Saccharomyces cerevisiae S288C: one gene and its partners. Changing the gene in region 1 together with any one later gene gives a genetic interaction. Each region holds a gene or a part of one and is shown in the gene's direction. Other genes may lie near its edges. The genes, in order: BUD13, TGS1, THP3 and LSM7.

Region 1 (7,695 bases):
ATGAATAACAAAAGAAACCATCAAAAGGCTCATTCGCTTGATCTCTCTGGTTTTAATCAGTTCATATCATCGACACAATCTCCCTTGGCTTTGATGAATAATACATCAACATCGAATTCTGCTAACTCTTTTTCCCCGAATCCTAATGCTGCTAGCAACTCCACTGGGCTTTCAGCCTCAATGGCAAATCCTCCAGCCATTCTACCATTAATCAATGAGTTTGATCTGGAAATGGATGGTCCCAGGAGAAAATCAAGCCACGATTTCACGGTTGTTGCTCCTTCGAACTCTGGTGTCAATACCTCCAGTTTAATTATGGAAACACCATCCTCTTCAGTGACTCCTGCTGCATCTCTCAGAAATTTTAGCAATAGTAATAATGCTGCTTCCAAATGTGGAGTGGATAATTCGTCATTTGGTTTGAGTAGCTCAACGTCTTCATCTATGGTCGAAATCAGCGCACTACCCCTTAGAGATCTGGATTATATCAAACTTGCCACTGACCAGTTTGGCTGCCGTTTTCTTCAAAAAAAATTAGAAACCCCCAGTGAATCCAATATGGTGAGAGACTTGATGTATGAACAAATTAAGCCATTTTTCTTGGACCTTATTTTGGATCCGTTCGGTAACTATTTGGTTCAAAAACTATGCGATTATTTAACTGCCGAGCAAAAGACATTATTAATACAAACAATATATCCAAATGTTTTCCAAATATCAATCAATCAGTACGGAACTCGTTCCTTACAGAAAATTATAGACACTGTCGATAACGAAGTTCAAATCGATCTCATTATTAAGGGATTTTCCCAAGAATTTACTTCGATTGAGCAAGTGGTTACTTTGATAAACGATCTTAATGGTAACCATGTGATTCAAAAGTGTATTTTCAAATTCTCGCCATCAAAATTTGGTTTCATCATAGATGCTATTGTAGAACAAAATAATATCATTACCATTTCTACCCATAAACATGGTTGTTGCGTACTACAAAAATTACTAAGCGTTTGTACTCTACAACAAATTTTCAAAATTTCTGTGAAAATTGTGCAGTTCCTTCCTGGATTAATCAACGATCAGTTCGGTAATTATATCATCCAATTTCTGTTAGATATCAAAGAATTGGACTTTTACTTATTGGCTGAGTTATTTAACCGTTTATCCAATGAATTATGTCAACTATCTTGTTTGAAGTTCTCCTCAAATGTTGTGGAAAAATTCATTAAAAAATTATTTAGAATCATTACTGGATTTATTGTTAATAACAATGGGGGTGCCTCCCAAAGGACTGCAGTTGCTTCTGATGACGTGATTAATGCTTCTATGAACATTCTTTTGACTACCATTGATATATTCACAGTCAATTTAAATGTGCTAATCAGGGATAATTTTGGTAATTATGCGTTACAAACGCTATTAGACGTTAAGAATTATTCTCCTCTGCTTGCTTACAACAAAAATAGTAACGCAATTGGGCAAAACAGCTCTAGTACATTGAATTACGGTAACTTTTGTAACGATTTTTCATTGAAAATTGGTAACTTGATTGTCCTTACAAAAGAATTACTTCCAAGTATTAAAACTACATCCTATGCAAAGAAAATTAAGTTGAAAGTTAAAGCTTATGCAGAAGCCACAGGTATACCATTCACTGACATATCTCCTCAAGTCACTGCAATGAGTCATAACAATCTTCAAACGATTAACAACGAAAATAAGAACCCCCATAACAAAAATAGTCATAATCATAATCATAATCATAATCATAACCATGCTCACAATAATAATAACAATAATAATCAAAAGAGTCATACCCGTCATTTTTCTTTACCAGCTAATGCTTACCATAGAAGAAGTAACAGCTCTGTAACCAATAATTTCTCAAACCAATATGCACAAGATCAGAAAATTCACTCTCCGCAACAAATTATGAACTTCAACCAAAACGCATATCCCTCGATGGGAGCACCTTCTTTCAATTCTCAAACTAACCCACCATTGGTAAGCCATAACTCGTTACAAAACTTCGACAACCGCCAGTTTGCAAATTTAATGGCACATCCTAATTCTGCTGCACCAATCCATTCGTTCTCATCATCTAACATTACCAATGTGAATCCTAATGTTTCAAGGGGATTTAAGCAGCCTGGATTTATGATGAATGAAACCGACAAAATTAATGCTAATCACTTCTCGCCATACTCTAATGCAAATAGTCAAAACTTCAATGAATCTTTTGTGCCTCGTATGCAATATCAAACGGAAGGTGCAAACTGGGATTCAAGTTTGTCAATGAAGTCGCAGCATATTGGTCAAGGCCCATATAATCAAGTTAATATGAGCCGCAACGCTAGTATTTCCAATATGCCTGCCATGAATACCGCTAGAACATCTGATGAACTTCAATTCACTTTGCCATAATACTTTTTTTTCTTTCTTTTTCTTTCCTTCTTACTGTACAAATATTTTACGCAGAAATCAAAGACAAAAGAAAAATAAAAAATAAAAAATAAAAAATTCAACTAAGCAATGACGTCCTACTAAAGTCCCAAAATTTGAGCCGGAAAAAAATGGTAAAGCAAACTATTGCCATCTTTATATTTTGTATTCTGTTTCCGAACACGTATCCAAAATCCTCCCACTGCCTTTGCAGGGTTAGCATTGCTCCCTACCAAAATGATCTAATTTTTTTTTGAATCGTTTTTTGTCAACGATTATTTTTGTTTTAAATTCCTCATCTTCTGAACTTACGCCCAACTATTATTTAATTCATTCATTCATTAAGCAATCCATACGTCCATTCATTCATTCAGTTTTCTTTTTGTCTATTACTGTCATTTTATTTTCAAATCCAATTGTCCTTTAGGACACTAATGTGTTAAAATATCCATTCGCTCAAGCATTTTTAATAAATAGGAAAATACCGTTTGTTTTTCTTTGTCATTTGTATAAATTTTTCTACTGGTTCCTGTCTTGGTTGGCTTTATTATATTTAGGTTTAACTTGTACTAACAATGATACATATTTGTATATTTTATTATAATATCATATCTAACTATATCTAAAATCGTTGAACTATTCAGAATGGAATTGTACACCAAGAAGAATTATGCTATAACACCATAAGGTCATTACATTTGGGTTTTGACTGCTAATTAGTTCGAAGTCGGCGTTAAAATTTAAAGAATATTTATACATATGAATATGTATATGAATGCAAAGTATGCTAAAATATTTATAAAGCAAAAATCTCGGTGGGCTAAACTAGGTCAAAGCAGATGTTATGAAGATATTGGCCCCATTGTAGGGATCATCTTCTCTCCGAATTAAGATGCATATTTTTTGAGAAAGTGCTTCTTCAGGTATATCGTAAGGTGAAGTACTGCTCTCTTCACCTAGAGGTTCCACAGCATCAAACGGATTTACGTACCTTGGGGGTATGAAAGCCGAATGTAGGTGGATAGATTCAAACTGGAAGTTTTCTAACCTACAGTAGTTCTTCATACCTCCTATTGGATAGAGGGTGATATTTCCACCTTCGGATTTTTCGTAGTCAAGATTTCCAGATAAAGTGGTACAAAATACTTCAAAATCACCCTTTCCGTCCCTAGCGCTAGTTGAACCATAAATGAAGTAGCGCCCGTCATCCGATATCTCGAGTATTTCTGTATCCTTAGTCACGTTTAAGAACTTAGTTTTAAAAGATACAACCGGGATTTCGGTCAGAATGTCCTCCAGGAACGTATCTGCTATAACCAGTTGTTGCACATTCTCTTTGTCTGCCATTCCAGATATAAGTATTAGGCCTTTATTATTCAATGCTTTTATGGAAACAACAGATTTTAGGGAATTTCTGATAGGTTGATTTCGACTTTCTGATGTCATACCGTTGGTCTTGGAGTACTGTAATGTCATGTTTGTAATATTAGTGAAGACTATTGCCATTGAATCACCATTTCTGTAACCTAAATAAAACACACCGGTGTTCGTTTTTTTTAAAGGTGATAAAGCATCTTCTTGTAGACAAAATGATAGGGAAGTAATGTCACTCCTACTTTTGTGTTTTCTTGAGCTTTTGGCAGGAGAAAAGATATAGGGATTTGGAAAGGTTTCTGGAATCAAATCATAAAAATGACAACGATAATTTACGGTAATAATCAACGTGTCTCCAACAACAAGAGAATCATGGACTTGGCAATTTTCTTTGAGTTTGACCTGACGAATTTTGAGCAGTTTTAAGGAAGAAAAGTCTTGTAAAAAGATGGCAAAAGTATGCACGTTAGATCTGGTATTAACGTTGTGATAAAAATAATGGCTCGGCCCTTCCTTGATGGCAACTGTTCTCTCAAGTTTCATTGTTTTGAACACATCAGTTGGCTCGGACTTATATTTCAACATAGGATTTAATTCAGCCATGGAAAACCCCGTAAAGAAATTTTCTTCAGAAAAATTATCCAGGGATGAAAATCCTGCGACATAGCCCTTGTTTGTTGCAAATACTAATTTACTATGAAAACATCCTTCTTGAGTTACCAATAAAATACAATTTGCTAATACTCCTATCTGTATCCTGTGTGGAAAATTGAGTGATTTTACGTTAGCAGAACTATGTGAGTGATGACCTTCAGTGAGAGAATGCGATGCATACTGCATATTTAAACCAATCATGTACTTTTCATATGATAAAGGGCGAAAAGCCCTTTCCAACGGATTCAGAAGACTAAGCTTGTACTTTTGTAATGTTTGCTGACGTTTTTTTTTAATCATAGAAAATTTTTTATCGTAATTTTCCTCAACACATTGTCGCTTTATATTATCTTTTCTGTACTGGTTCGTCGTTCCCGTGGTAGAAATGCTTTGATTTTCAGATATGCGAAAATAACGTCGACGTTCTCTATCATAATAAAACCCTGGTAAGTTAGGTGTCATTTGTTTAACGTCCGTTAACTTCCCCTTTCTGCTTTACCAACTGCTGCTTATTTATTCGCCCTTTTTTGTTTTCCATTGTTGTTCATCTCATTGCCTTTTTTTATTTTTCAGTTTTTCCCATATGCCAACGAGGAAAAAAGCCCTTTCAACCATACCAAAAAAAATGTATTTGAAGTAATGAATAAAGAATGATGATCGCTGGCGTTTAACATCTAGCATATATCTGCAATAATTTATCACTCCAGAAGAAACATCCATCGTCAACAATTTGATTTAATTGTTCTCTTTTGAATACATATTCTCTCTCGTACGGTGGGATCTTGTTATTGCTTGCCATTAAAAACCTATATTTTGTCTTTCTTCTGATGATTTCCTGGGATTTCTTTTTGTCCTCGTTCCCTTCCTGAGTGGAGGGAAAATCCAGTCTTCCAAAACCTGGGGGGGATTTTGATCTATTCCTCAAGTTATCAAACGCAAATTCGTAGTCCGAATTTTGCGATTCTATAACTACTGACAATGATCTGTGTTTAGAATCCTCTGGCTTTCCAACTTGGGCATAAAATCGCTCCAATTTTCTTCTTCCTCTCTTAACCGGGGCGATATCTTCATTTGGTCTAAAGTCTTCGAGAATCCAGGCTCGCTTTGTTAAAGGGTTCGTATTGAAGTCAAACAGGAAATTATCCTTAACATTTTTGTATAAATTTGGCGATGTAGATTCAGGGTTCTCGAGCTCTATTCCCAATAGTTTTCTTGTTTTGTTCTCTTTATCATTATCTTTTTCGTGGATTACAGTATCAGAGCAATCTTCCAAATCGCTTAAGTTGTTGAGGCCATTTAAAGGCGAACTAAACTCCGAAATTTTCCGTTTATGCCTATTAGGTGGCATAGTAACCAGCGGTAACTGCACAGTGTGTTTATTTTCATTACGATAGTGAACCTCTGCTGATTCTTTCTTTATGTCCTCATCAAACTGAGTAAGGATGAAATCTTCAGAATCTTGCTCACCTGGCCCCGCAGACGTCTGAGAGGATTGTTGAGGAGCATTTTTTTCGTGACATAGAATTTCAGCCAGTTTACTGTTAGGTTCTTCGAGAACACATTTATTCCGATTTTGCAGTGCTTGAACACGTTTCGCGATTAAGGTAGTCACGTCATACTGCACATTTAGTAGTTCATCGAGACTGAGCTCCTTGAGAATGGATAAGCTTGACTTTAGATACACATTTTCTTCACCAGTCACCATCTCACATACAAACACCTAATGGCTTACAGCATGGATGGAAATGCAGGTATGTGAACGATAACAATGTTTGCAAACGTAAACAAAAAAGGTATTAAAGCTTAAAAGCTTTTTTTTTGTAGAACGCGCTTAGAAAATGGCATAAAGAAAATGGCTATTTGACTTGATTTTGAAAGTTGTTCTCAAGACTCGAATGGTGGAAGATAACAACAGGACGTTTATTACATGGCATTGCATCAGTATTTATCAGAGACTTATGGGCCCACGAAACCCAAAAATAAGACGAAAAAGAAGAAGAAAGAGTCAAAATCAGACGCTAACTCAGACAAAACTTCTTTGATAGTAAAAGAACGGCTAAGTACACTGCAACAAGAACAGGAGAAGTCAGGAGTTGCTTCATTCAGCAAGTTTGACAAACAAAAAAGCAAGAATATATGGAAGAACCTGGAAACAAACGAGCTTTCCCATGCAATAACACATCCTTCCGCATCGTCAATTACTGGCAACGAAAGCAAGAACGATCTAAAGGAAATCAGGGCTCAAGAGCCACTTGTCACAGTAGCAGACAAATCGAAAACACGAAAAACCATATACAGAGACGCTCAAGGTCACAAGATTCAGGAAGATTCCAAGATAGACGATTCTAGTTTTAGTCGATCTAAATATGAAGATGAGAAAGCCGCGGAAAGAGAGCAATACCTGAAAAATTTGAATATGGGAGACGTGCAAAAGCTTGGAATAAATGTAGATGCACATGATAAGAAGAAAAATCAAACTGCCTCGAGTCTGACGATAGAAGACCCTGCAATAACATTTACACATGACAAAGAAAGAACTGTAAAAACATCTTTACTGGGCCGCAAGCTTTATGATAAGCCAGCACCTGAGAACAGGTTTGCCATTATGCCTGGGTCAAGATGGGACGGTGTCCACAGATCAAATGGCTTTGAAGAAAAATGGTTTGCTAAGCAAAATGAGATCAATGAGAAGAAAGTGCAAAGCTACACCCTACAGGAGGATTATTGAAAATGAGATAATATATAACTATGCGGAAAGCTTTGTGTAAAAAATACCCTTTGACAATCCCCATTTGTTATAAGCTTTTTCTTAACAAGATCAACGATTAAATACAAATACCCCTCTTTATATAGGTCTCAGATATACTATTAAAGTAACCTCGAATATACTTCGTTTTTAGTCGTATGTTCTAAGTAGATTCGTCTTTTTTATTATCACGGTCAGCAGCATTGCTTTGTGACTTTGGCGATTGACATTCAGTAGAGTTTGTGCCAGAAGAAGGTTTAATCTCGCCTTTCCTACTGTTCTTTGTTTCTCCCCCAATAGTTGAACCATTGCTGTGCTGTTTACCATTAATGAATTTTTTCAAATCTTGGCTTTCCTTTTCATTGACAACAATACGACTTCCTTGATCTGAAACATTTGTCATAGGAGGTGGAGGTGGGAAGGAAATCGGTTGTCCAAACCCATGTGGTGCTGGTGGCGGAATAGACATTCCATTCATATTA
Region 2 (7,946 bases), on another chromosome or scaffold:
TGGTACTCTTGGTAGCCACGAAAAATCGCTTCTTTTCTTTTTTAAATGAGAACCTCTCACATCGCTATGTTCTTTCTTTGTGATTGTCTTGTTTTGCTTTATAAGTGGTGCAGTATGTTCGTGTTCCGGGGGTTGACGATGGTACGCTGCCTTTTTACTGCCCTTTTTTCTTTTGGATTTCATTTGATTTTTAGATAGTAAAGACTGGTTACTTAAGAACGTAAAGGAAGACTGAAATCTTCTAGAAGTGAGAACTATTCCTGAAGAAATGGCATTGTTCCTTGATAAAGGCGGAATAAATGGACGAGCTAGCTTCAACATAGTTTATCGTCCGACTTTGCGTTCTGACCTGCTGAATATACGATTAGTAGTTTTAAAAGCACCTTTATAATGTTCGACAGCAAGGAGTGCTATATCTAGCGGGTGTTTGTGTACGTATGACGGAATAAGTTAAAGAAACATCTAAGTTATTTAAATAGTTGCTATAACTACCCTTTGGGATAAACGATTCTGATATTGCGAGCGAAAAAAAGAAACGGTAGACAGAATAGGCGTTTGTTATCGTCGATGGTGATAAAAGGCGATATCGCCATTAAGGTAAACAATTATTATGATTATGGTTCTTATGGTTGATACGTTGATTTATATTAATATTAATGAATGCAAACTTATGTTATTATATATTTTTAAATTTTCATACCGACAGGAAGAGTCAATGACCTCTTGACCACACCTGTTGGTAGCGATATAATGCTGTTTGAGTAGGCAGGATTTAGCATAGCAAATGGAGATCTTAACGTAATACTCAAATCGCTTTGTTTTCTCATCGGACTTAATTCCGCTAATTCGTCTACCTCTTTTGCCAAATTTCTTCCTTCTCCTTCTTTTCTTTTTTCTTCTTCTTCTTCATCATCTTCATCATCTTCTTCATCTTCTTCATCTTCTTCATCATCATTTTCTTCTTCTTCTTCTTCATCATCTTCATCATCTTCATCTTCTTCTTCTTCCTCGTCGGCCCTTACTGTAACGCCATCAAATATTTGGGAGGAGCTACCATCAGCCTCATATTCAGTTAATAGAGAATCGACAAGATCTTCGTAGATAGTTGAGTTTGTTTCTGCTGATTTATTCATATAAACAACATTGCTCTTATAATTTTGTATACGAGCAATTTGTACCCTGAGCATAATTCTTTGAGCAATTACGGTGCTTAAATAATGTTTCATCAAATTGTAACTCTCTTCATTTGAAGTTTCCTCATTATTTGCATCCACATTTTGAATTTCATTGTTGCATTCAACTCTGTCCTTATTATCTACTTCCGTTGTCTCCATTGCATCCGCATAATTAGAGTAGCTTTCAGATGATTCTCTGTCATAATCAGATGAGCAAACGCTATTAACGGGAGATAATTCTCTCATAGAACTAGTATCAATTACATATTCGTCTTCCTCTTTAATAGAATATCGATTCATGGATAACGGAATAACTTTATTTTCTACCACAATTGATGGCTGTCTTGCAATTGCATTTAGGGCCGTCGATGGTTTTGACCTTACCAATCTTGACCTCGAGTACATGCTGCTGTTGCGAGTGACGGCATGACTAACATTATCCGGTACAGAAATGAAGGAGTTTTTATTATTTGCCGGTGTCATAGTGGCAGATGCGGTTAGGATGGATGCAGCCCTTCTAATAGAGGAATTTGTTCTTCTCAATGATGGAGTATAGCTTACCAAAGGGCTCCTTGGGGTGTTTGATCCAACTTTGGAATCTTCAGATTGGGGATGGTTTGCTTTAAATTTCGTATCAACTGTCAAAGGTTTAGTCTTTTTTTGTGGAGCCAATACAGGTACTAAAGATTTTGATGAGATCGACCGTTGTAAATTAGAGACGTATCTCTGCGATTTTTTTTGACGCGGAGTAGAGTTGCTGTTTTTGTTGACTAGGTTCGTCCCTCTTTTTTTTGACTTGTTGTTAATGTTTGCTTTAGATTTAGTGGTTTTGGAATTCGTGGCGGAGGGGACCTTTTGAACATTATATGAAAACAGTCTTCTTCTTAAAACTAGCCGTAATTTCCGTAACTTTTTCTTTATCTTGATTCCCAATGAGGTGAAATAATATAAGAGTCCGCCCTTACATCTAATAGCTTTTGATCGTTTTAGAGAACAACGACTGCTACTTGATTTACTGCTGACACTTGAACTATACCTGGAATTGGAAAACCTCGAGGATTCAACTCGTCTTATGGTCGGAACTCTGTTTAGCTTTTTTTTAGGTTTCGGTACTACGCTATTGTTTAATTCGATAGTTTTTATATCCTTTTCCATATTTAATTTGGTCATCGGTTTGGCTTCTTGGGTCGACGGCAGAATGGCGCTTTTAGATGTCGATTTCCTTGGTAATAACGATGATGCTGATGACGGCGCGATATCGTAGGAAACATTATCTGCTGTTGGGATAGTCTGGAATGCCGTTGAGATTGAGCCAGTTATGTTTCCCTCTGGAATAGCTTCCATTGAATGTAACTGGTTTTTAACTACATTTGAGCTGCTATAATGAAGAGAGTCATTTCCTGGGAAGTCATGAGAAGCAAAAAAGTCACTTTTGTTCGAGTCTGAGGAAGTTAATCTAGCGGTTTCATTTTGATTGATTACAATACGTGGTGAAGACGTAGTATTGTCAGAAATGTTAGCAAATGAATAGTATCCATTTGATGAATAACCGGAATTTGTATTTGTATTGGAAGTGGATGTATAGTCTGATAATGTTTGAGAGTTTCCGTCTTCATCGCGAGAAACTCCATTTTCTGCTGCAAACACATCATTTAAAAGATGATGATTATTCAAATGGTACTCTTCTAGCGTTCCTCTTGGTAAACTTTCGTTAGACGGGAATTTAAAATCCATTTGATCGCCTCTAAACGACTTGGTTTTTGTCCTTATTGGAGCTCTGATGATCATTCCGTATGATATATTTGTTGTGATAATAAGCCAAATTTATTTGAGCACTATTGTTAAGTTAATTGTTCTTGTTTTACTTGTTAAGCCGTTAAGTTGTCAACCGAATTATCAAGCACTTAAATCTATATATACAACATATTTGTACAAGAATTGATGACCTGCTGAAAGCCCAGCAATCTGGTTATCCCAGTTGAACATGTTTAAGGATAGGCATATCGACTTCTTTATCTTACTAACCGAAATATTGAATTGCCTGTGTAATGAATGGCTGGAGCAGCCTTTTTTTTATCTTCGCCAGCCATCGCTTTTTTTGAATATTTTCCACATGAAAACAATGTATGAAAAATTCTAAGGCATCGCACCAAACTATATGAAGGGGAAGTGAGTTATTCCGCAAACAGCGAGTAAGTTTTTCGTTGTATTGATTGCCCATATTATATACCGTGTTGTGGGGGCAACAGACAGAAGTAGAAGAAAAAATTTTTGTTGATTTAACTGAAGTGATGGGAAGGACATTTATTCATGCTTCGAAAATAAAACATGCGGCACGCAAAAGAAAACATCATTCCAACTTTAGAACTCTGATCAAATTATTGAACAATGATGCCTATAAGATAGAATCATCAAAACCGTTGAAAAATGGTAAACTTTTCAAATACTGGAAAAATAGGCGTAGATTGTTTTCAAAGATAGATTCGGCGTCGATATATATGACTGATGAGCTGTGGTTCAGTGTGACGCCCGAAAGAATTGCCTGCTTCCTGGCAAATTTTGTTAAGGCATGCATGCCAAATGCCGAAAGAATACTGGATGTTTTCTGTGGTGGGGGCGGGAACACCATACAATTTGCCATGCAATTTCCTTACGTCTATGGAGTGGACTACAGTATTGAACACATATATTGTACTGCGAAAAACGCCCAAAGCTACGGTGTGGACGACAGAATATGGCTGAAGCGGGGATCCTGGAAAAAGCTAGTCTCTAAGCAGAAACTTTCCAAAATAAAGTACGACTGTGTATTTGGATCACCCCCGTGGGGTGGTCCAGAATACTTAAGAAACGATGTGTATGACTTAGAGCAACATCTAAAGCCTATGGGGATTACCAAGATGTTGAAAAGTTTTCTTAAACTAAGCCCTAATGTGATTATGTTTTTGCCAAGGAACTCTGATTTGAACCAGCTTTCTCGAGCTACGAGGAAAGTACTAGGTCCATTTGCCAAATGTAAAGTATTATATGTAAAGGAGAATGGATATATGAAAGGAATATTTTGCATGTGGGGGGAATGCTTTTTTAACTACGAACCAGCAAGTACGGAGAATAGTCGAAGGGAGTCGTCCGAAAAGGAAGAGCTGAGTTCTGAAAACGAAGAGCTCTCGAAAAGAAAAAAGCATGAATCCACAACAACGACCAAAGATAATACTGTAGACATTTACGACGTAAATGGTTAAACACTTGTTCAAGTTGAATCGTATGATAGAAAATGCAATGACTATGTTATGAATGTATATATAGCACATAAAGAGGATCGCTTACGTGAATTTGGGAATAATTAAAACGTTCTTTTAGCTGCGGCTGCTCGTCGATAGGAGTGATAACAAATTAAGAATTAGAAGGGATGTCTTTTTTTTCTACCAGCAAGTTGCCACGCGCTTCAGACTTTAGAAGAGGTAGTAGCAATCCCTTCGAATGAGGTTCGATTATATCTCTCACCATTCCACGATTTATCACGGAAATACCATTCAAAAATAAATAAGGCGACTGAATGGATTCCAAGGCAGCACTAGTATCGATATTTAGTTTATTTTGTTTGATATACTTTTCTAATTCATAGCCATGAGAGTGTTTTTCCAAATCAACAGTGGCCAATTCGGGTGAAATCTCAAATTCTCTTTGTAATAGATTTTTTAAGAAAATGGAGTCTGCTTGTGATGATTTAATGAATAATACCGCTGGAGAGGTTCTTATTATATCTAGAAAATCTGTTCTAGGGTCGAATTTTTTGTGATCGCAGTTTTTCTGCAAGGCCAGAGAAGATGACCGTGGATTTAGTGTTGTTGTGGTCGTCGCCGTCACGACATTATCAGTTTGGAACGATCTTGAAGAAAATTTTGATGTAGCTTTGGATGAGGGTTCTGGGATGTCGACTTCAACCTCGCTTTGAATATTTGAAATTTCTTCTTTGACTTTTTGGAAATTTAGTTCATTTTCATTACTTAGAAAACTGTCTGCTGTCTTTAATAAGTTTGGCAACTTGTAAACGAACTTCTTTTCACTTTCTTCCTCACTATTTTTTTTGTTTTCGCTAGGGTCAGCAGAGTTGTAGAATTCCAAGGAGTCATTCCATGTAAGTAGTAAGAAGCTAAATACGCCAAGCAAAACGAGTGTTAGCGATATTATTCTCGTACTTCTCTTGATTGCTGTGTGCTTTTTCAAAACTGATGAATCCGCTATCATCTTTAACTGTTATTTTCCTTTTTTTAATTGCTCTTTACTGTTCTTGGAACAAGAGATTATGAAGTCTATAAAAGAACATATATATAAGTATTTAAGAGATAAGCCTGATTCAAAGACGTTTGCAAGTTTCAGTCACTTGGCCTTAACAATCTTTATATATTAATCCCTTTAGTACCTGCACAATTAAGGCCGAGACAGACTCGAAACAACCCCAAAACTTCTTGATCTTTATTAGCTGATGCCAAATTTTTTGGTACCACACTGAAACGAACTTCGTAAATCCATTATTTGTGTATTTTCTTAACGAGAAGTGCCTAAAAACTGCCTTTTATGCGCTGTCTTCTGAGAATAGATCCCGTTCAAGGCAAGCGCCGGGCAAGCGGAGGCGCAGTCTACAGAACAATCCGCACAAGGAAAAAAGCACCCGAGATCTGGGACCCTCACCTAATCATTTATCGTTATCCACGACAGGGTGCGGTGATTGCTGTGTATTAATGAGTGGTTTCAAAGCCCTATCCCGCAGTCGTTTGGCACTCTGCAGGGCCTCAATCATTTTATCCTTCCTCTCGAGCATCTTCTGTAATTCGATCACTTCAGTGCCGTCACACCCAGTTAGCGACATTGCAGTATGACCACTTTTTTCTAGCGCCATGATCTTGTCTTCAAGTTTTTGAGTGTATTTCCTATATTGCCTTATTTGTGATTCCAAACCTTGGAACTTTGTTTCCAAAAGGGTGCCGACCTCAAAGGGAAGCATTTCTACAATTTCCATAATCTCAGAATCTTGCAAATCAACCACATCTTTATCTAGTAGTTTTTCACAATTCTCTAGTTTATATTTTAATACTCGATTCTCCGCTCTCATTAGAGCCAAATTCGGATCACCATCATTGCCGGTGGCTTTAATGTCTTTATAAGTACTTTCATTGGAAGATTTGGTTAAGGGCTCGCCAATGTTTGAACGGTTCTTCAATTCAGAGATCATCCTACGTTGTTCTTCCAATTGGCGTCTCAGTAGCTCAATGGTGCGATCTTTATCTCCATCGTTATTCCCGTTACTGATGATGGATTTTTTGGATACATGAAGTGCGACGTTTTTCGCTCTTGATGCAAACCTCAGCGTATTCATAGTTTCCGCTGCCGCATCATTTCTGGTGTCGACTGTACATATCGTTGTCACTATGCTGTCACCGCTTAGTGCCGGCTGCAATAATCTAGTCAATTTAGAATCACGATATGGAATGTGGTTGCTTGGGCTAGTGCCGTTATTGGTAGCATTTCCACTACTGCTGCTACTGCCACTTGCAGATGGCGAGGGAATGTTTGAGCCTACTGAGTTCATCTTGTCGGCACTGAGTTTGGATATCACAGTCCCCAAAGCAAGTAAGGATTTGTTGATGAATGAACCTTCCTTTCTCCTCTCTTGTTGCCCCGTAGCCCTTTCCGAACCTGCTAGGTCACACAACGACAATGTACTCGATCTTGAGGTGCCGTTCTTTACGTTAGTACTTGTTAAACGAATCAGTACAATGGCATGAGATCGTGAGCTTCTTGCATTGTAGTCAGTTTCGCCAATTTTCCTACTTTTGTCACCAACTGCAATCCACCTCAATAATTCTTCACTACTTTCACATCTTCTTTCGGTGAGACCGATAACTTTGACCCCATACTGAGAGTCATCTCTGATTTTTAATTCTACGCCCAATCCATTGCTGTTGCTCTTGCTCATATATAACCTTGAAGGAGTACTGATTCTACTACCGGATTCTTCTAATCCGCTTTCTAACAGGTCGTAAATCCTTTCATTGTAAATTTCGAGGTACGATATTATAACGTCGAACTTTTTATCGCCATTCATTGATTGTTCCATGATATTGGTAAATAAATACGACACAGATAAAGGAATTAGGCCTAGCTCTTGTTCATTTCCGCTCATTGTAAACGTTTTACCTGACCCGGTCATACCGTACGCAAATATGGTGGCATTAAACCCCATCAATAACTTATCAATCATTGGTTTACTGGTTCTTTCATAAACTTCCAAATTAGTGCAATGGGAAGCAAAAACATGATCGAACTTGAACTCTCCAATTTCTTCATGCACTATTGTTTTGTCATTAGTAATAAACCAGGGGTCTCTAACAAATGTATTGCTACCGTGATGTGAGTTGGATCTTGGTTGAGAGTACCTGGGCGATTTTAGCCCCACATGGTCACGGGAAGTTCCAACGCTCCGTGGTTTCGGCCGGATGGTCACAGTGATTGACCCAGTATATGTATCGTTTTTTCTCGAGTTGTTGTTAATACTGTCGCTCCGCCTGATCCTTATCCTACCTGGGTGAAGGAAGGGATCGGATTTGGCTGATACGGATCTTAGTGGGGAGTTACTTCTAGTGGAAGATGCAGAAATCGACTGAGAACCCGAATTAGAGGTGCTCCGTATGGAGTTTCTTGTCAGATTAGAAAACGATGAAGTTGATCGTACAGAGGGCGATTGTGGGATATTACTTGAACCAGAACTAGACC
Region 3 (8,277 bases), on another chromosome or scaffold:
CTCACGTCTTGGAAATGACCTTCAGATGTAATCCTTTTGTTTATATTAACTCTGCCAACCTTTAACGATTCATCACCTTCGAATATAACCTTGGTGCTAGTGAACTTTTCATTGGCATGTTCGTCTGAAAGCTGTAGGTAGGATGCTGGCTCTAGGTAAACCTCAGGGTCCAATTCTTCCCTCTTAATTATTTGGCCATTGACCTTTCTGTTGGGGTACTTACTTAAAAGAAAGCTTAGGACTTTCTTTTCATATTCAAAATATACTGATTCAATTCCGAGACCTGTACCCTTATTGCTACCAGCCATAGCCTGGTCGTCAGCCTCCAATCTATCGAATAATTCATTAGCACCCAATTGTGTGACAATGCGCTGATGTAGCTTTCTAATGCCGTAGTTAAACTTAGGATAAGATGAATCACCAAGTCCAAGCATGGCAGTTTGAATATGGTTGAGCAAATTCGACGGAAGATTCTTTCTCTTTAAAAACGACCAGAACGTGACGGGTCTTTCACCTTTTAATGCATTGACATTCCTTGGTAATTCACCTTGGCCTGTTGTGGAGCATATAATAAAAAGGTACCTGCATTTCAAGATATCCTGTGGGTCATAATCACCAATGGAGCAAAATGTATGGGAGAAATGCCAGCGATGTAGTCGATGGGATAAGATTGTAGCAAAATCATGCGCGTTACCTGTCTCCGATCCATAGAGGATGACGATTTTCTTGCTCGATGACATGCAGCGATTAATGGAAACACAGATGGCCTACTGTTGACTAGAATCTTCATGTTAATAAGGCTCATGAAATTTTTCGAATTTTTTTTTTTTATGTAGTCATCGCATTGCCGCAAATGCTTAGTAATTAAGAAAAACAGATAGATAGATGAACATAGATTGAAGTGATACAAAGAACCTGACAAAGTATTTACAAGATATATACAGCTGCGGTAAAACACCTGCAACTAGTTTGAGTCCGTATCCCTATCTGAGTTCTACGCTGTATTCTTTTACCAATTTAGAACACACCATGTCTTGCAAAGTGTTAACTTCGGCGTTTGTCAAATTTCTGTCCATTGATTGATAGTTGATCCTGTAGCACATAGATTTTCTCCCAGTTTTCGGATGCGTAAAGCTATCGACTAGCTTGACACTCTCTACCAAATCGCCAGCTATATTTCTGATAATTTCCATCAAATCATTTTCATGAACTTGATGAATATCTGGTTTATCTTCTGGTAACCAAAACGCAACATCCCTAAATGATCCCGGGTGTTTTGAATAAGGTTTGAAGGAAGTAATTAATCCCTTGGAGAATTGTCTTGAAAATCTTTCATCACGACTCCAAAGCAGTCTAATATCTGGAATTTCAAAAAGAAGCATAGCAATGCGGTCCAAACCCAAGCCAAAAGCCCACCCAATTGTTTCAGAAGGTTTATATCCGGCTCTTAGTAGCACATCTTGACGAATCAATCCGCATCCGCAGAGTTCGAGCCATTCGCCCTGCCACCAAACCTCTATTTCCCATGAGGGCGCGGTCCAGGGGAAGTAAGCGTTAATCCAACGGACTTTTAGCTCTTTGGGTGTATTATTCGCTTTGTTCTTGATCATGCTAGATATTTTTTTGTTAAAAACTTCAGAAACTATCAGTTCAATGGACCTCTTCAAATGTTGAGAGCACAAATCAACCTCCAGATCGGACATATACTCTTGTTTAGGATTATTTTCTTTCAAAGGTATAGTATCATCGTCAACCGTAATCTTTACATTTTCTTTATTTAAAAGGTTCTCTACCTGTCTGATATCTTCACGGATTTTCTCGATATACATTGGCTCCTTTACGCCCACATCAGCCTTCGTTCGTTTCCAAATTGTGGCTCCTTCCATTTGGTGGAATACCGGATAGTGAGTTTTGTCAATTTCATCTCTTCTGTACACATCTGCAGATATTAAAAATCCACTTTTAATATTATCTGAATCGTTTCTTATTTTTTGAAAGCACTCTAATTCGTGGGCTGAAGTATGTGTTCTCAGTAGGTGCGTCTCATTTATATAATATGTGTCAGATTTTGATCTTCCAGGATGATCCTTAGGAAACCCTAAAGAATCGAAGTTTTCCATTGTGGTTACCACGGGCTTGAAATTATTAAAGATCTTAAATGTGTTGTCGACTGAGTTTAATTTCTTTTCAATTAGATCGCGAAGAATGCCTACTGGATGTGATTCTTTCAAATGTAATGATCTGTCGGTAAGCTTTATTATTGAATCTGTAACATTGGTAGTCTGTGGGTCGGTCTTGTATTTTATGCCATTGATTTCTACATGTGGAACTTTAAGGGTTGAATATAAGCGATAAAGACCAGTCCTGGTCTTCATCATTCTATTGAGAAACATTGAAGTTACCTCCATTGGCAGATATTTTTTTATCCCTTCTCTCTCTCTGAATTTGTGAGTAGTTCCTTAATTTTCCTACCTTTTTTTTTTCTCGAAGATTCAAACCTTAATTAAGTAACTATTATTATTAGCGTTGTCAGTATTAAAATTATTTGAATATATAAATAGCATTAGAAGATAAAAATCAAATTGTGTAGGATATGTTTGTATATCCGGAGTGTATCTGTAAAGCAATCATCAATTCTTGTATCGTTTCATTTTCCTTTTCTACCTCAACCTGTTTTCCAGCAGTATCACTGTCGTCTGGCGGTATAGTTGGTTTGGGAAACTTCGACGATAACTCAATCAGTTTTGACATCAATTCGTCGCGTTCTGCTCTTGATTCAATCAACTGTTTGTGCAATGAAGATTGAGCACCTAACGATTGCAAGAGCTCATAGTCCAGAGAATTGCTTTCTTCTAAGAGGTTTTGTAGCTTGGTGAATAATACATTGGTATTGTCCGGTTTCTCCAACAGTCTAATAAGAAGAGCAGTCTTTTCAAGATTAATTTGAAGTTGGTGTCTAATTTCCAAGAGGCGCTGTTGAGTATGGCTTAATATTACCGCATGATTGTGTTTTCTAATCAAGTACAACCTGTCCAACGTGATCAACAACTCTCTATATACCTCCACGTGCTCCTTTTCTAATTGCTGGATTCTTTCCCATTGTTTTTCACTACTGTTTGTCATCTGTCAAAATGGTATGAACTCCCCACGACAGGAAGAAATGGTTAGAAGTATCTAGATATTGCACACTGTATGTGATGACGGCTATCATTTATTGTCAACATGCATCATCCTTCACGGTTTGGAATTTTTGAGTAAAAAAGGACTGAACATGACAAAAAATAGAGATTTGGCTGTCTCGTAAAGAAACCATAGAATACAAGGAGTAGGAACCGTTCGGCAGCGAGTAGTTGAGTTTCCAATAACATTATGCAGAATCCTTACGGTCACTTTACTAACAATACCACGGAGGACAGGGAAGCTTCATCTCAAGGAGGACCATTCGGCCAAAGCCTGAATAGGCCCCTAGATTACGCCGGATCTTTCCCTTCTCTGACATACAATAATAATAATTTCATTGCCAATCAACAACCTTCTCTGCCTTTGCCAGAACCACGTTTATCTTGGAACAACGTCAACCAGGTTTCTAACCCTTTGATGGTAACACCGCTTCCGGGATTACAAAAACGTATGAACAAAAACATTAAAAAGAAATTACCAAGAGTATCTAAGAAGGCATCAGCCCTTTCTAACGGGGTATCCGGCAATGTAATGAGCAACAGTAATATAGTAGGGCATGGTGCTGTAGGTTCGGCATCGGGATGGAAAGTTGAAATGGGTGGCAGTGATGAATTAGAGAGAAGAAAGAGAAGGGCAGAAAGATTCAGTCAGGGACCATCAGCGACGACGAATAGTAACGATAATTTGAATGAAGACTTTGCCAACCTAAATGCCATTAGTAGCAAATCTCATCAATATGACAAAAAGATTCATGTGGTAGGGCGTTGCCAAACTCTAGAGAAATCTTATCTGAGACTAACTTCAGAGCCTAATCCTGACTTGATCAGACCCCCAAATATTCTACAAAAAATGTATTGCTTGTTAATGGACAAATACCAATCTAAAACAGCCACTTATACTTACCTTTGCGACCAGTTTAAATCAATGAGACAAGACCTAAGAGTGCAAATGATCGAGAACTCTTTCACTATTAAAGTGTACCAAACGCATGCACGTATTGCCTTGGAGAACGGAGATCTTGGGGAATTTAATCAATGTCAAAATAGGATTATGGCGTTATTCGAAAACCCTACAATACCAAAAAAATCTTATTCCGAATTTATATGCTATTCTGTTTTGTATTCGATGTTAACCGAAGACTATCCGTCGATTTCTCATTTAAAACTTAAGTTAATAGACGATGGCTCTTCGGAAATCTTGGAGGACGAACATGTCAAAATGATATTTGAGTTGAGCGATATGAAACTAGTCGGCAATTATCACTACTTCATGAAAAACTACCTAAAACTGCACAAATTTGAAAAATGTCTAATTAATTCATTCTTAAATCTAGAAAAGTTGATATTTTTGACCATAATTTGTAAGAGTTATAACCAGGTCAATTTAGATTTTGTTAAAAGTGAGTTTAATTTCAACAGTATAGAAGAGACAACAAATTTCTTGAATGAGCAAAACTTGACGGAGTTCATATTAAACAAACAAATCACTGACAGTAATGGCAAAAGTAGTAATATCAAGATTTTGAATACCAAGGGATGTAGGGTACAGTTGATACAAAATTATATGAAGTCTAAAAAAATTGATATAAAGGGACAAAAATGATGAAGAGGGAAACGGGATGCCTAAGGTATATGATTTTGGTTTTTTTTTTTTTTTTTTTTTCTAAATAAATATATACATATTCACAACACATAAAATCTCTTGAGTGCATTCATCGATGTCACTTTCTTCTGGAAATCAGAGCCTAGATACCAGGCTTAAGGCCCCCACGAACAGTACGTGAGCTATTGGCCATTGTTCCTGCCCAAAAAACAGACATTTACTGGAAAAGTTTTTGAGTTATAATTAATTATATAGTTGTTTTATGATTTTTATACATATAATTAAAATAAAATCAAGCTTCAACCATTTCTCTCAATCTTCTGATGGTAGATCTAACGGTGGCGGCAGCAGCAGTGGAGACAGTGTAAGCACCACCAGCGACGGTCTTCTTACAACAGGAACAAGTCCAAATACCAGCAGCACCTCTCTTGACGGTCTTCTTACCACAGAAAGAACAATCGTATCTAGCGTGTTGTTGGATTTCCAACTTCTTGACTTGTCTTCTCAAAGAGGAACCATAACGGACACCGTACTTACCAGTGATACCAACCTTCTTAGTTCTTTTAGCCCTGTATTCAAAAAAGAAAAAATATCAAAATATGTTAGTAAATCTTGAAGGAAATTCTAAATAGGTCGAGGTTTAGTGTTTCGAATTGGTGATTATACAAGCATAAATTCCACTTTGTTTCCCTATATGCATCTCCACAAAATTCTATCTCTGCACTGAACAGTTTCGTAAGACTAGTTTGCCACCTTCAGGTATATGAATGAAAGTTCCCATAAAGCAGACATTTCACATAATTGTACCCTATCGAATTACAGTGATCCTATTCATTTGAGATATGGTGTTCAACTTCATGTTTTTCCCTTTATATCGTAAAAGTCTGTGGAATTCTGTCTATATCAGTCTATTTCATCACGAAACACTACTCCTCCAAGCAAACGGTAAATCGTGTGCGTAATATATCATACATTTTTGTCTCAGTTGTCTTCCTGTTGTTTGCTACTACTGTCTGAACTAAAAAAAGGCGTGCCAAATACTATATATGATACCTAACTCTAACATCCCATATAGCCCAATATCTCACATAACACTGAGTGAGCCGCCTCGTGCGTTGCGTTAGAAAAAGTTAACAAAAGTGAAAAAAAGCAAGGATATTTCTTGCGGAAAAAAAAAAAATTTCTAAATGTACGGATTCTTTGAAAATTTGAACAGTCTTAGTTTCGTTTGAGATCTTTTGGTAACCCGGCTGTTGTTCCAAAAAAGAACTAAGTAAAAAAATTGTGAAATAGTATGAAACCACCCCTCGAAAGAGCAAGCGATGGTGCATATACTGCTGAATGGCACAGAGCAACGGCATAACTTACTTTCCTCTATACTAACCATTCAATTATTTGTTACTAGCTTAAGTGTATATTCATTGTTAGAGAGATATATCTACTATCGCTGTCCCTTGCTACTGTTTTCTGAATTCTGATGGACAACAAAAGACTGTATAACGGTAACCTATCCAACATTCCTGAGGTTATAGATCCTGGAATTACAATTCCAATTTATGAAGAGGATATTAGAAATGATACACGCATGAATACAAATGCTCGTTCTGTGAGAGTCTCTGACAAGAGAGGTCGTTCTAGCTCCACTTCCCCACAGAAAATTGGCTCCTATCGTACTCGTGCGGGCAGGTTTTCAGATACTCTAACCAATCTACTCCCTTCGATTAGCGCTAAGCTACACCATTCAAAGAAGAGTACCCCTGTAGTTGTTGTGCCTCCTACGAGCAGTACTCCAGACAGTTTAAATTCCACGACATACGCTCCCAGAGTGTCTAGCGATTCTTTTACGGTGGCTACTCCGCTGTCATTACAGTCTACTACGACCAGAACAAGAACAAGAAATAACACAGTATCTTCTCAGATCACTGCAAGTTCTTCTTTGACTACTGATGTGGGCAATGCCACGAGTGCAAATATTTGGAGTGCTAATGCAGAAAGTAATACTTCTTCCAGTCCTTTGTTTGATTATCCTCTCGCCACTTCTTATTTTGAGCCATTGACTAGATTCAAGTCCACTGATAATTATACGCTGCCTCAAACAGCTCAACTAAACAGTTTTCTGGAGAAAAATGGGAATCCAAACATATGGTCGAGTGCAGGAAATAGTAACACTGACCACCTTAATACTCCGATAGTTAACAGGCAGCGCTCTCAATCTCAATCTACCACAAACAGGGTTTATACTGACGCGCCCTACTATCAACAGCCTGCACAGAATTACCAGGTTCAAGTGCCTCCTAGAGTTCCAAAAAGTACTTCAATATCCCCTGTTATCCTTGATGACGTCGATCCAGCCTCGATAAATTGGATTACAGCAAACCAAAAAGTACCACTAGTCAATCAAATATCGGCGCTTTTGCCCACTAACACAATATCTATTTCAAACGTGTTTCCATTACAGCCTACTCAACAACATCAACAGAACGCTGTAAATTTGACGAGTACTTCCTTAGCGACTTTATGTTCACAGTATGGTAAAGTGCTTTCTGCGAGGACACTAAGAGGCCTGAATATGGCATTAGTAGAGTTTTCCACAGTTGAAAGTGCAATATGTGCTTTGGAAGCTCTACAAGGTAAGGAACTGTCTAAAGTAGGGGCACCAAGTACGGTATCTTTTGCGCGAGTCTTACCCATGTATGAACAACCTCTTAACGTTAATGGCTTCAACAACACTCCCAAGCAACCGCTGTTGCAAGAACAGTTGAATCACGGGGTGCTCAATTATCAGCTGCAACAATCGCTACAACAGCCGGAGCTACAACAACAACCAACTTCATTTAATCAACCAAATCTTACATATTGTAATCCCACTCAGAATTTGAGCCATCTGCAATTATCTTCAAACGAAAATGAACCTTACCCTTTCCCGTTGCCTCCACCATCATTATCGGATAGTAAAAAGGATATATTACACACTATAAGTTCTTTTAAGTTAGAATATGATCATCTAGAGTTGAATCATCTCTTGCAGAATGCCTTGAAAAATAAAGGAGTGTCTGATACAAATTATTTTGGTCCCCTGCCTGAGCACAACTCCAAAGTTCCAAAGAGAAAGGATACGTTCGATGCACCAAAATTGCGGGAACTGAGAAAGCAGTTTGACTCGAACTCATTATCTACTATTGAAATGGAGCAATTGGCAATCGTCATGCTGGACCAATTACCAGAATTAAGTTCAGACTATTTGGGTAATACCGTTATTCAAAAATTGTTTGAAAACTCGTCAAATATCATCAGGGATATTATGTTGAGGAAGTGTAATAAATATCTCACATCTATGGGTGTTCACAAAAACGGTACTTGGGTTTGTCAGAAGATCATCAAAATGGCAAACACGCCAAGGCAGATAAATCTTGTAACTTCAGGTGTAAGCGATTACTGTACTCCACTCTTCAACGACCAGTTTGGAAATTATGTTATTCAAGGTATTTTAAAGTT
Region 4 (7,518 bases), on another chromosome or scaffold:
CTTTCCAAAATTGATGTACTTTACTGCTAAAGATCTTTCCTTATTTGTTATAGGACCATTGATGGGCAATGGGATGGATGGAAATTCCGTAATATGATTTTTGCCTACATCTCCATAACCTAATCCGAAGGGTAGATTGCTCATATAGTTGCTCCCGCCACCTCTACTGCCGCCCCTATAAGAACTCATGTTTGTTCGGGGTATATATGCTCGGTACTATCAAGTTACAATATCTTTCTGTCGTGTTGTTTTCTATAGGTTGCTGCGATGAGGAAACTATTTTCTTCTTTGAGATTTTTTCAAATTTCTCTTCATTTTTCATGCGGCCGCACAAGAGTTGAAACCACTGACGAAAGCAATTTCAGTTCATTGAGTTACACCTAGCGAGGCACTTCTTTGTGGAATGGTAGCCATTGTATTGAGATTTTTCTTGTCGACCATCAGCCTTTTTCTTCATAAGAGAAAAGAAGATCTCGTTCATGACTGCTAATTACTTTGAACGATCACCTCTGCAATGTGACATTTGTTCGAAAGCCGCCCATTAGTATTGAAAATAATTTATATTTTCAATTGGCTAGACTACGAAATTTGGACAAGCCATTGCTGCGTAATCCTTTCTCTTCTACGTCACAGTACATCTCTTTAAACCTTTTCGTTTCTCGGCTGTTTAAGGAAAGTATCGTCTTGCCGTATCTACATAAATCAATTCTTACCCATTTTCTTTTGCATTCTAGCCGTTAATTCACGGCTTAGTCGTTTGATATCGTGTTTGAATTGTGAATTGCATCATTCATGCGGAATGGGAATCATCGCAGTCGTTATCCGTCTCACAAACGTCGGCATTTGCTGACTATTAAGGCGACACGTAACCTACAAACTCAATTTGAGACGCAAACGCAAGTTGATTAGACGTTGAGAATGATGCAAGTAGCAACATCGGTAATGGTTAGACTATTTTATCAGAAAACTATAGAAAAACTAAAAACAAAACAATGTCACAATGACAAAGAGGAACCCATACATACACAGAGAGCCTATTCTTCCAGTAGTTCCTCAATATCAGCATCACTATCTGGGTCCAACCCTTGGTTTCTTCTCTTAGCCTCTTCCAAAGCGTTTTCAAACAACTCCTGTTGTCTTTTAACTCTTCTTCTAGTTTTCTTACCCCAACCGAAAGAAGTTGTTTCTGCTGTTGCAGCATCATCTGGCTTGTCGATCAGGTCTTTTGATCTCTTTTCCTCTTTGTCTCGTTTGTCCTTTTCCACTTGGGCAGCCAACTGCTTCTTCGCCAATTCCCTGGATGCGATATTTCTTAAGAGTAAATAACCACCTACAATTATCACCAATCTTATAAAGTGCTTGTAGTCATAGTTGACTAGTTTTGCCATCCAGGTATCCACCCATGTTTCCGCTACTTCAGACATCTCTTTCAATTACTCGGCAGTTTTTCTCTTCATAACATCTTTTCCTCATACAAACCGCCGAGTGCACATAAATACAACTACAAATAATAATATGTTGACATCGGATGGAGATCACTAACTAAACCGCCACCGCGCTAATTCTGCACAAATTCAAATTTCATCATCGCTCTCCACGTCATCATGGACGTCTTCCACCTCGGCGGATTCTTCGTCTTTTGATAGAATTTCCACAGCCCGCGGACGCACAAACGATCCGTGACCCGGCGCCACAGGCCCAAACAGTGTTACCCCATTTATGCGCCCATCGTTTTTGCCTGCGGCTTCCGGGAATTCCACACCGCACCATGTGCCCATCACGTCCAACGGTAGTGGTCCTACGTACCGTAAAATGGCCTCACGTGGAGCGCTCCCGTCTACTGTGACACGACAGTGGCGGCCGATAGCCGCCGTTAATTGCTCTCGGGCATATGCTTCGTCCTGCTTTGCCAGCGCAGCGCGCTGGCTCTGCTGTGCAGCATTAAACCTACCATAGCCGTGAGCCATCTTCCATCGTAATACGGATTGATCCCTTCGCAAATAATCCTCCTCGCTAATTACTTCCATTGAGGGGATTCCTTCCGCTTGCGTGGCCAGCTGGTTAGAGATTGATTGGGCATTAGAGTCTGTAACAACCACAATAAGCTCCTCCTCTCCTTTTAGGAAGTTGGCATCTTCATCCTCATTTGAATAGGCACCCCCCTTTTTAGTACTATATATCTCCTTGTTGTCGTACTGTCTTTTCACAACTATTTCCATATCCTCTGGTTCCACTCCGGTAACATGGTACAATCGGTCCTTGAACTGCCTTAATTTAAGCGAATTTGGTAATTCCTTTTCTGTACGGACCAATTCACTCTCTATGACAACTCTAACCATAGTTTTGCCATGTAATTTTTTTTTCTATCTCTTTATTTGAATTCGTTGCTCTATGTTCTTGTCGCTTGTCTTCTTCAACTGCCGTTTCCCTGCGAGCCGGAAAAAAGTACTGTTCTTTCGAACAAAGGCGAAAAAAGCTGTAGCTGAAAACAGACAACTGGGAAACGACAATTAAGAATACGCATGTACGTGTATACTACTACAGTAAAAAAGAAAGTTATTTGAGAGCAGCACTTTGTTTACTACACAGAACATTAACCAAAAAAACATGCATCAGCAACACTCCGTATGTTTCACTTCTTATTTTCTTCCGTGGCAATAACCTTCCTTTTGACTTATTTATACTAACATTATAATAACTATGTTTCCTTTTTGAACTAAGAAATCAGAGAACAAACCACAACAGCAAAGGAAAAAATTCGAAGGCCCTAAAAGAGAAGCTATTCTGGATTTAGCGAAGTATAAAGATTCTAAAATTCGCGTCAAATTAATGGGTGGTAAATTAGTTATAGGTGTCCTAAAAGGCTATGATCAACTGATGAACTTGGTACTTGATGATACAGTAGAATATATGTCTAATCCTGATGATGAAAACAACACTGAACTGATTTCTAAAAACGCAAGAAAGCTAGGTTTGACCGTCATAAGAGGTACTATTTTGGTCTCTTTAAGTTCCGCCGAAGGTTCTGATGTACTATATATGCAAAAATAGGTTTAATAATATAATCTCATATAAACTCCCTTCCTTACAGTTGAAAACAAAATCAAATCACGGTATGGCATTTCTTTACATATTCTCAATACCTGACTGACATAGTATGCGCTACATAGTTTTGTCCTATTTTTTTTACACCGCGATTTGAAGTCTAAAGCCAGAGAATGAGGAAAAACGAAACAAACTGAGATCATTTGTATAAGGGGAGTCACTGTACAGCTGCCAATACCAATTTTCCTTCTGCCAAATCAAAAAAGTATCCGCATACACATACACCCCTCCCTCTACAATCTTAATTATTTACTGATTCCTTTCGTATTTGTCCAGTATGAGCAATACTAAGCATACCACTTCTCATCACATGGAACTCAAAAGGATCATTATCCTTACACTTTTATTCATACTCATAATGTTGATATTTCGAAACTCAGTGTCCTTCAAAATGACATTTCAAGAACTACTGCCACGATTTTACAAAAAGAATTCAAACTCAGTTAGTAATAATAACAGGCCCTCATCTATTTTCTCGGAAAACTTGGTGGATTTTGATGATGTTAACATGGTCGATAAGACCAGACTGTTTATTTTTTTATTTTTCAGTTTCATCATTACTATACCGTTTATGGTATAAATTAGAAAAGTTAAAGCAGCATGTTTTCATTTGAAACAAATACTAATGCAATAATAGGTACACCATCTACTACATAATTAATTGATAGTTTCCTTTTCCGTTAAGTGCATGCATAGGACGCCCATAATTTTTTAAGTTAAAAAAGCATGTATTTACCTATTCGGGAAATTTACATGACATGGATGCCATAAGGAACGAAAATGAAACATGCATGTCAGAGGAAAAAGAACAAAGCGAGAGGAAAAAGCTGTTGCATTACCACGTAATTTTGTATATAAATATCTGATAAATAACCATTTTATTTCCATCCACTTCTTCTGTCGTTCATCCGTTCATTGACATCACTAGAGACACCAGCGAGCTATCATCTTCATACAACAATAACTACCAACCTTAATGCAACCGATCACCACTGCTTCCACACAAGCCACTCAGAAGGATAAATCCTCTGAAAAGAAAGACAACTATATAATCAAGGGCCTCTTCTGGGATCCCGCCTGTGTTATCGCTTAATTTTTGACGACAACCAAGAGGTCAAATCAATATCTACCCTTTCATTTATTACGTGTTGCTGGCAAACTAATTTATTCCAATTCTCTCATCATTAGCTCACCCTTTCCATACTTTTTCATACTTTTATACATATGTATTTGTAGTTATCACTTTAACAGATTTTTTCATGTTTTTCTTTTCTGATACGCCTTTCCCTCCGCAGGAAATGAAAGATGAACCACCCATTACATTCGATTTTTTTTTTAATTATATTTTTGACTATTATTTAATCATTAAAAACACATATATTTCATAAATTCGTAAGGTCGTTAGTTCTATCGTAAAAGTGAAAAAGTTTTGAGCCAGTTTTCAAAAACCCGCAGGATCCCACTATGTATGGCTTTAAATAATGGTTTTTCACGTGCATCAAGTCCGTACTATCTTCACCACTATAAACTCTTATAGGTGGATTATTCGTTTCGAATGCTGGTGGCAGTGCCGGTTTGAAAATAATCTTACCTACCCATGGGTGGTCTTCCGTTAACGGTTTGATGCATCTTAATGAGTCTTTGATATATCTTTTCCTTGAAACTAGTTGTGTCGCCGGTGCCCACTTCGAATCGTTACTGGATTGATTCTTATTTCCACATTTTAGTGACAATTTCTTTGGAAAATCATGATTTAAACAACCAGTCACGGAAAAGCTTTTCGTACTGAATATTGTACCGTACTCAACGTCCGCATTCTCATAGCGAGATTCTCTTTCATCCAAATATACCAATCTATTGATGTCATCATCCTCAACATATCCATCTTCATCATCCTCTTCGTAATTAGCATCGTCTTCGTCTTCGTCATCATCTTCATCTCCATTTACATCTTCATTGCCACGGTTTAACTTTTCTTCACGATTCGTACGCTCAGCAGAATTCGAAATAGTTGACCTTCCTGTTCCCTCGTATACCGGTTCAAAATTATTAATTTTCAACACTGACCGATCACAGCGCAAAGGATCTATAGGGTTGGAATTCGATCTACTTCTGAAGTTTTCATGGATGGATGTTTGTGCCGTTAAAACAGAATGTGCTGTGGGAGAAAAAGTGGAAGATAGAACAGAAGTATTGGTATTAGTAGTACTACCATTGTCATCGATTTCTTCTTGAACACTATTCAGTTCCTTCGATCTCATTTTTTGTCCAATGTCCATATTAGAGTTTTTTCTCGAACTGGAATCTGTTTTAAAGAAATTTCTTAGTTTTGATGTAAATAAGCCACAAAAATCAGTTTGAGAACTCTCCCCTGCCAATGAACCAGAGTCATTGGGCCCATTGGAGTCATGACTCGCATCGGATACAGAGGGAGGTAGCAAGCTTAAACTTCTTGATCTTGATTTGTTTGTCGGACGTTCGTTGCCGGTGGCCACTTTTGTTACAACAGAAGAGGTGTGTGATCTTCTTAAAAGTAAAGAGTGGGAGCGAGAATCATTTCTATCACTATTTTGTCTGCTCTTGTTTTTGTTTTTGTTCTTATTGTGTTGCTTAAATCTTCTTGCCCTCGGATGTCTCCTTCTGGGAACGCTTCTATAGGTGGGCATTTCCCTCAATTCCAGATCCAAGGACAGGGATATACCCATGTTCAAATACATAGCCCAATAGATCAATTCGTCTACATGAGAAAACTGCACTAGAAACTGTTGTCCCTCACAACGCATTCTTAAAACAAAATCTCTAGAGGAATAATCTATAGGCAGACCAACTTTGGCACATTGCAGGGAGTAACTCTTAAAGAGGCGCTCATCTGATAAAAATTTGTGCTCGTCTCGTGCTATTTCCCCGCATATCCTTTCCTTGTCATATTTATCGAATTGGTAAGTGGATTTCGTCGTGAACGCATTTAATAACGACCGAGCCGAATGATGGCGATCGCTAGCAGTTTTGGAATGGTGGGAATGGTCAAACATGTCACCACCACGATAGTTTTTAATATGCCTGGTTAATGAATCGTCAATAGAATAAAAGTTTATCTGCGTAGAGTTTATTTGAAGAATAAAGTTGTTCCATAATCGAGAAGAAGCATTTTCAAAGGGCGATAGTTTTTCCATCTTCATAGAAACCACAGTATAGTGTTCTACAGACGGTGTATAACTGGGAGGTTTCACAGAAGTGAGGCACGGACGACAATGCTCATATATAGGGTACCTAATGACTTTAGACGGATTCGCAAAATCATAACACGGAGGTTCCACTGGGTACGGATCTATGCAGTAAAGCACGTTTTTGTCAGCAACATCAACATCTACTCCGGATTGTGGCTCCACTATTTCGTTCATGATGTTTGTGTTAATGTCTGTTATGCTATCGATATGGTTAAAAGTCACTTTCGGAAGCGGAGAATCCAGAATAGAATTACTAGTAGTACTGGAACAAAGAAACTCGTCGCCCATGGATATGGATGAGGCTGTCTGTGAAAGCTTCAGCCCCGTACTATCCATACCGTCGTGGTCTATTGTCATTTCAAAGATGCTGGAGGACATTTTCTGAATAGGTCCGTTTATCTCTTCTGCTGTCTGCGAAAACAACGTAAAAAAATAGTGCTTAGTGTTACTGCCTGTGTAACAACTAGTGCCAAAGTTACAAAGAAACTTCACTAACAGTTTTTGCAATTTACCAAGAAAGCACCAACAAAATAAATAAATAGCATGCCTGTATATATTACGAAAAGTCCTTCAACTACGTCTTCCACTTGCTCTATCCCTTGGCGGAAAACAGAATACATGCAAATTTTAGAGAATTTTTCAAGATGCCTGCCCCCCACATTTTCTTACTTGATCAAGAGCAGATCTGTTCCTTTGCGCAGGGGGTTGCATGGGGGAGAAACTGGCCGGAAGCAGCCGAAAGAAAGTTCGCAAAAAGATAATGGGGACAGTATTAGAGAAAACGGCGTGGAGGGGTATGGAGGAAACAGTTAGCATAGGTAACGAAAAACCGCAGCAAAATAATTCTCTCTTTTTTTCTTTTGACTTAGTTGTGGGACCCGGATCATTCGGTACTGCATCTTATTCCCGTGCCAAGGTCTCTGGGTGTTGCTGATTTCCGGGTATCCAGAGCTCTATCTGCTTCCGTACCCAGTGAGTGAGCTAAAATAAAAAAGGGGCCTCGGCGGAATTTGAATTCGGGTTACGTTTCCCACGGAGCCCCGGATAGAAAAGATTAGTTTCAGGTACATGTGTCAAATGAGGATAAATCTCAAACACCCATGTACCGAAAATCGATGTGTTGGTTATATTACAAGGTTGGAATAGACCACGGTGATAAGACGTGGAATTTTTGACTGACCATGCG

What was found.
Region 2: mutations in BUD13 (region 1) and TGS1 together harm fitness more than expected from each alone (negative genetic interaction), as found in Saccharomyces cerevisiae (3 studies listed by BioGRID, with this or other methods).
Region 3: mutations in BUD13 (region 1) and THP3 together harm fitness more than expected from each alone (negative genetic interaction), as found in Saccharomyces cerevisiae (3 studies listed by BioGRID).
Region 4: mutations in BUD13 (region 1) and LSM7 together harm fitness more than expected from each alone (negative genetic interaction), as found in Saccharomyces cerevisiae (4 studies listed by BioGRID).

Annotation. Positions count from the first base shown.
Region 1 is NC_001139.9:168,151-175,845, forward strand, and holds BUD13 (Bud13p), read left to right. Parts: upstream 1-6,394; coding exon 6,395-7,195; downstream 7,196-7,695. Other genes in the region: MPT5 (Mpt5p), read left to right, coding at 1-2,421; YGL176C (uncharacterized protein), read right to left, coding at 3,265-4,929; ssDNA endodeoxyribonuclease SAE2, read right to left, coding at 5,135-6,172; chromatin-binding exonuclease XRN1, read right to left, coding at 7,377-7,695. UniProt on the Saccharomyces cerevisiae protein: Required for efficient splicing and pre-mRNA nuclear retention. May also be involved in positioning the proximal bud pole signal.
Region 2 is NC_001148.4:251,348-259,293, forward strand, and holds TGS1 (RNA methyltransferase), read left to right. Parts: upstream 1-3,466; coding exon 3,467-4,414; downstream 4,415-7,946. Other genes in the region: PET20 (Pet20p), read right to left, coding at 1-321; AIM44 (Aim44p), read right to left, coding at 687-2,963; pheromone-regulated protein PRM4, read right to left, coding at 4,566-5,420; KIP2 (Kip2p), read right to left, coding at 5,869-7,946. UniProt on the Saccharomyces cerevisiae protein: Catalyzes the two serial methylation steps for the conversion of the 7-monomethylguanosine (m(7)G) caps of snRNAs and snoRNAs to a 2,2,7-trimethylguanosine (m(2,2,7)G) cap structure.
Region 3 is NC_001148.4:651,645-659,921, reverse strand, and holds THP3 (Thp3p), read left to right. Parts: upstream 1-3,369; coding exon 3,370-4,782; downstream 4,783-8,277. Other genes in the region: TAH18 (NAPDH-dependent diflavin reductase), read right to left, coding at 1-740; MSF1 (phenylalanine--tRNA ligase), read right to left, coding at 984-2,393; MCM16 (Mcm16p), read right to left, coding at 2,578-3,123; 60S ribosomal protein eL43 RPL43A, read right to left, coding at 5,075-5,351, 5,755-5,756; PUF2 (Puf2p), read left to right, coding at 6,260-8,277. UniProt on the Saccharomyces cerevisiae protein: Forms a complex with CSN12 that is recruited to transcribed genes and required for transcription elongation. May also be involved in pre-mRNA splicing.
Region 4 is NC_001146.8:348,333-355,850, forward strand, and holds LSM7 (Sm-like protein LSM7), read left to right. Parts: upstream 1-2,607; coding exon 2,608-2,625; intron 2,626-2,721; coding exon 2,722-3,051; downstream 3,052-7,518. Other genes in the region: RPC31 (DNA-directed RNA polymerase III subunit C31), read right to left, coding at 1-189; PGA2 (Pga2p), read right to left, coding at 1,035-1,424; ALF1 (Alf1p), read right to left, coding at 1,575-2,339; YNL146C-A (uncharacterized protein), read right to left, coding at 3,054-3,248; YNL146W (uncharacterized protein), read left to right, coding at 3,383-3,685; MFA2 (mating pheromone a), read left to right, coding at 4,082-4,198; MPF1 (Mpf1p), read right to left, coding at 4,488-6,710. UniProt on the Saccharomyces cerevisiae protein: Component of LSm protein complexes, which are involved in RNA processing and may function in a chaperone-like manner. Component of the cytoplasmic LSM1-LSM7 complex which is involved in mRNA degradation by activating the decapping step.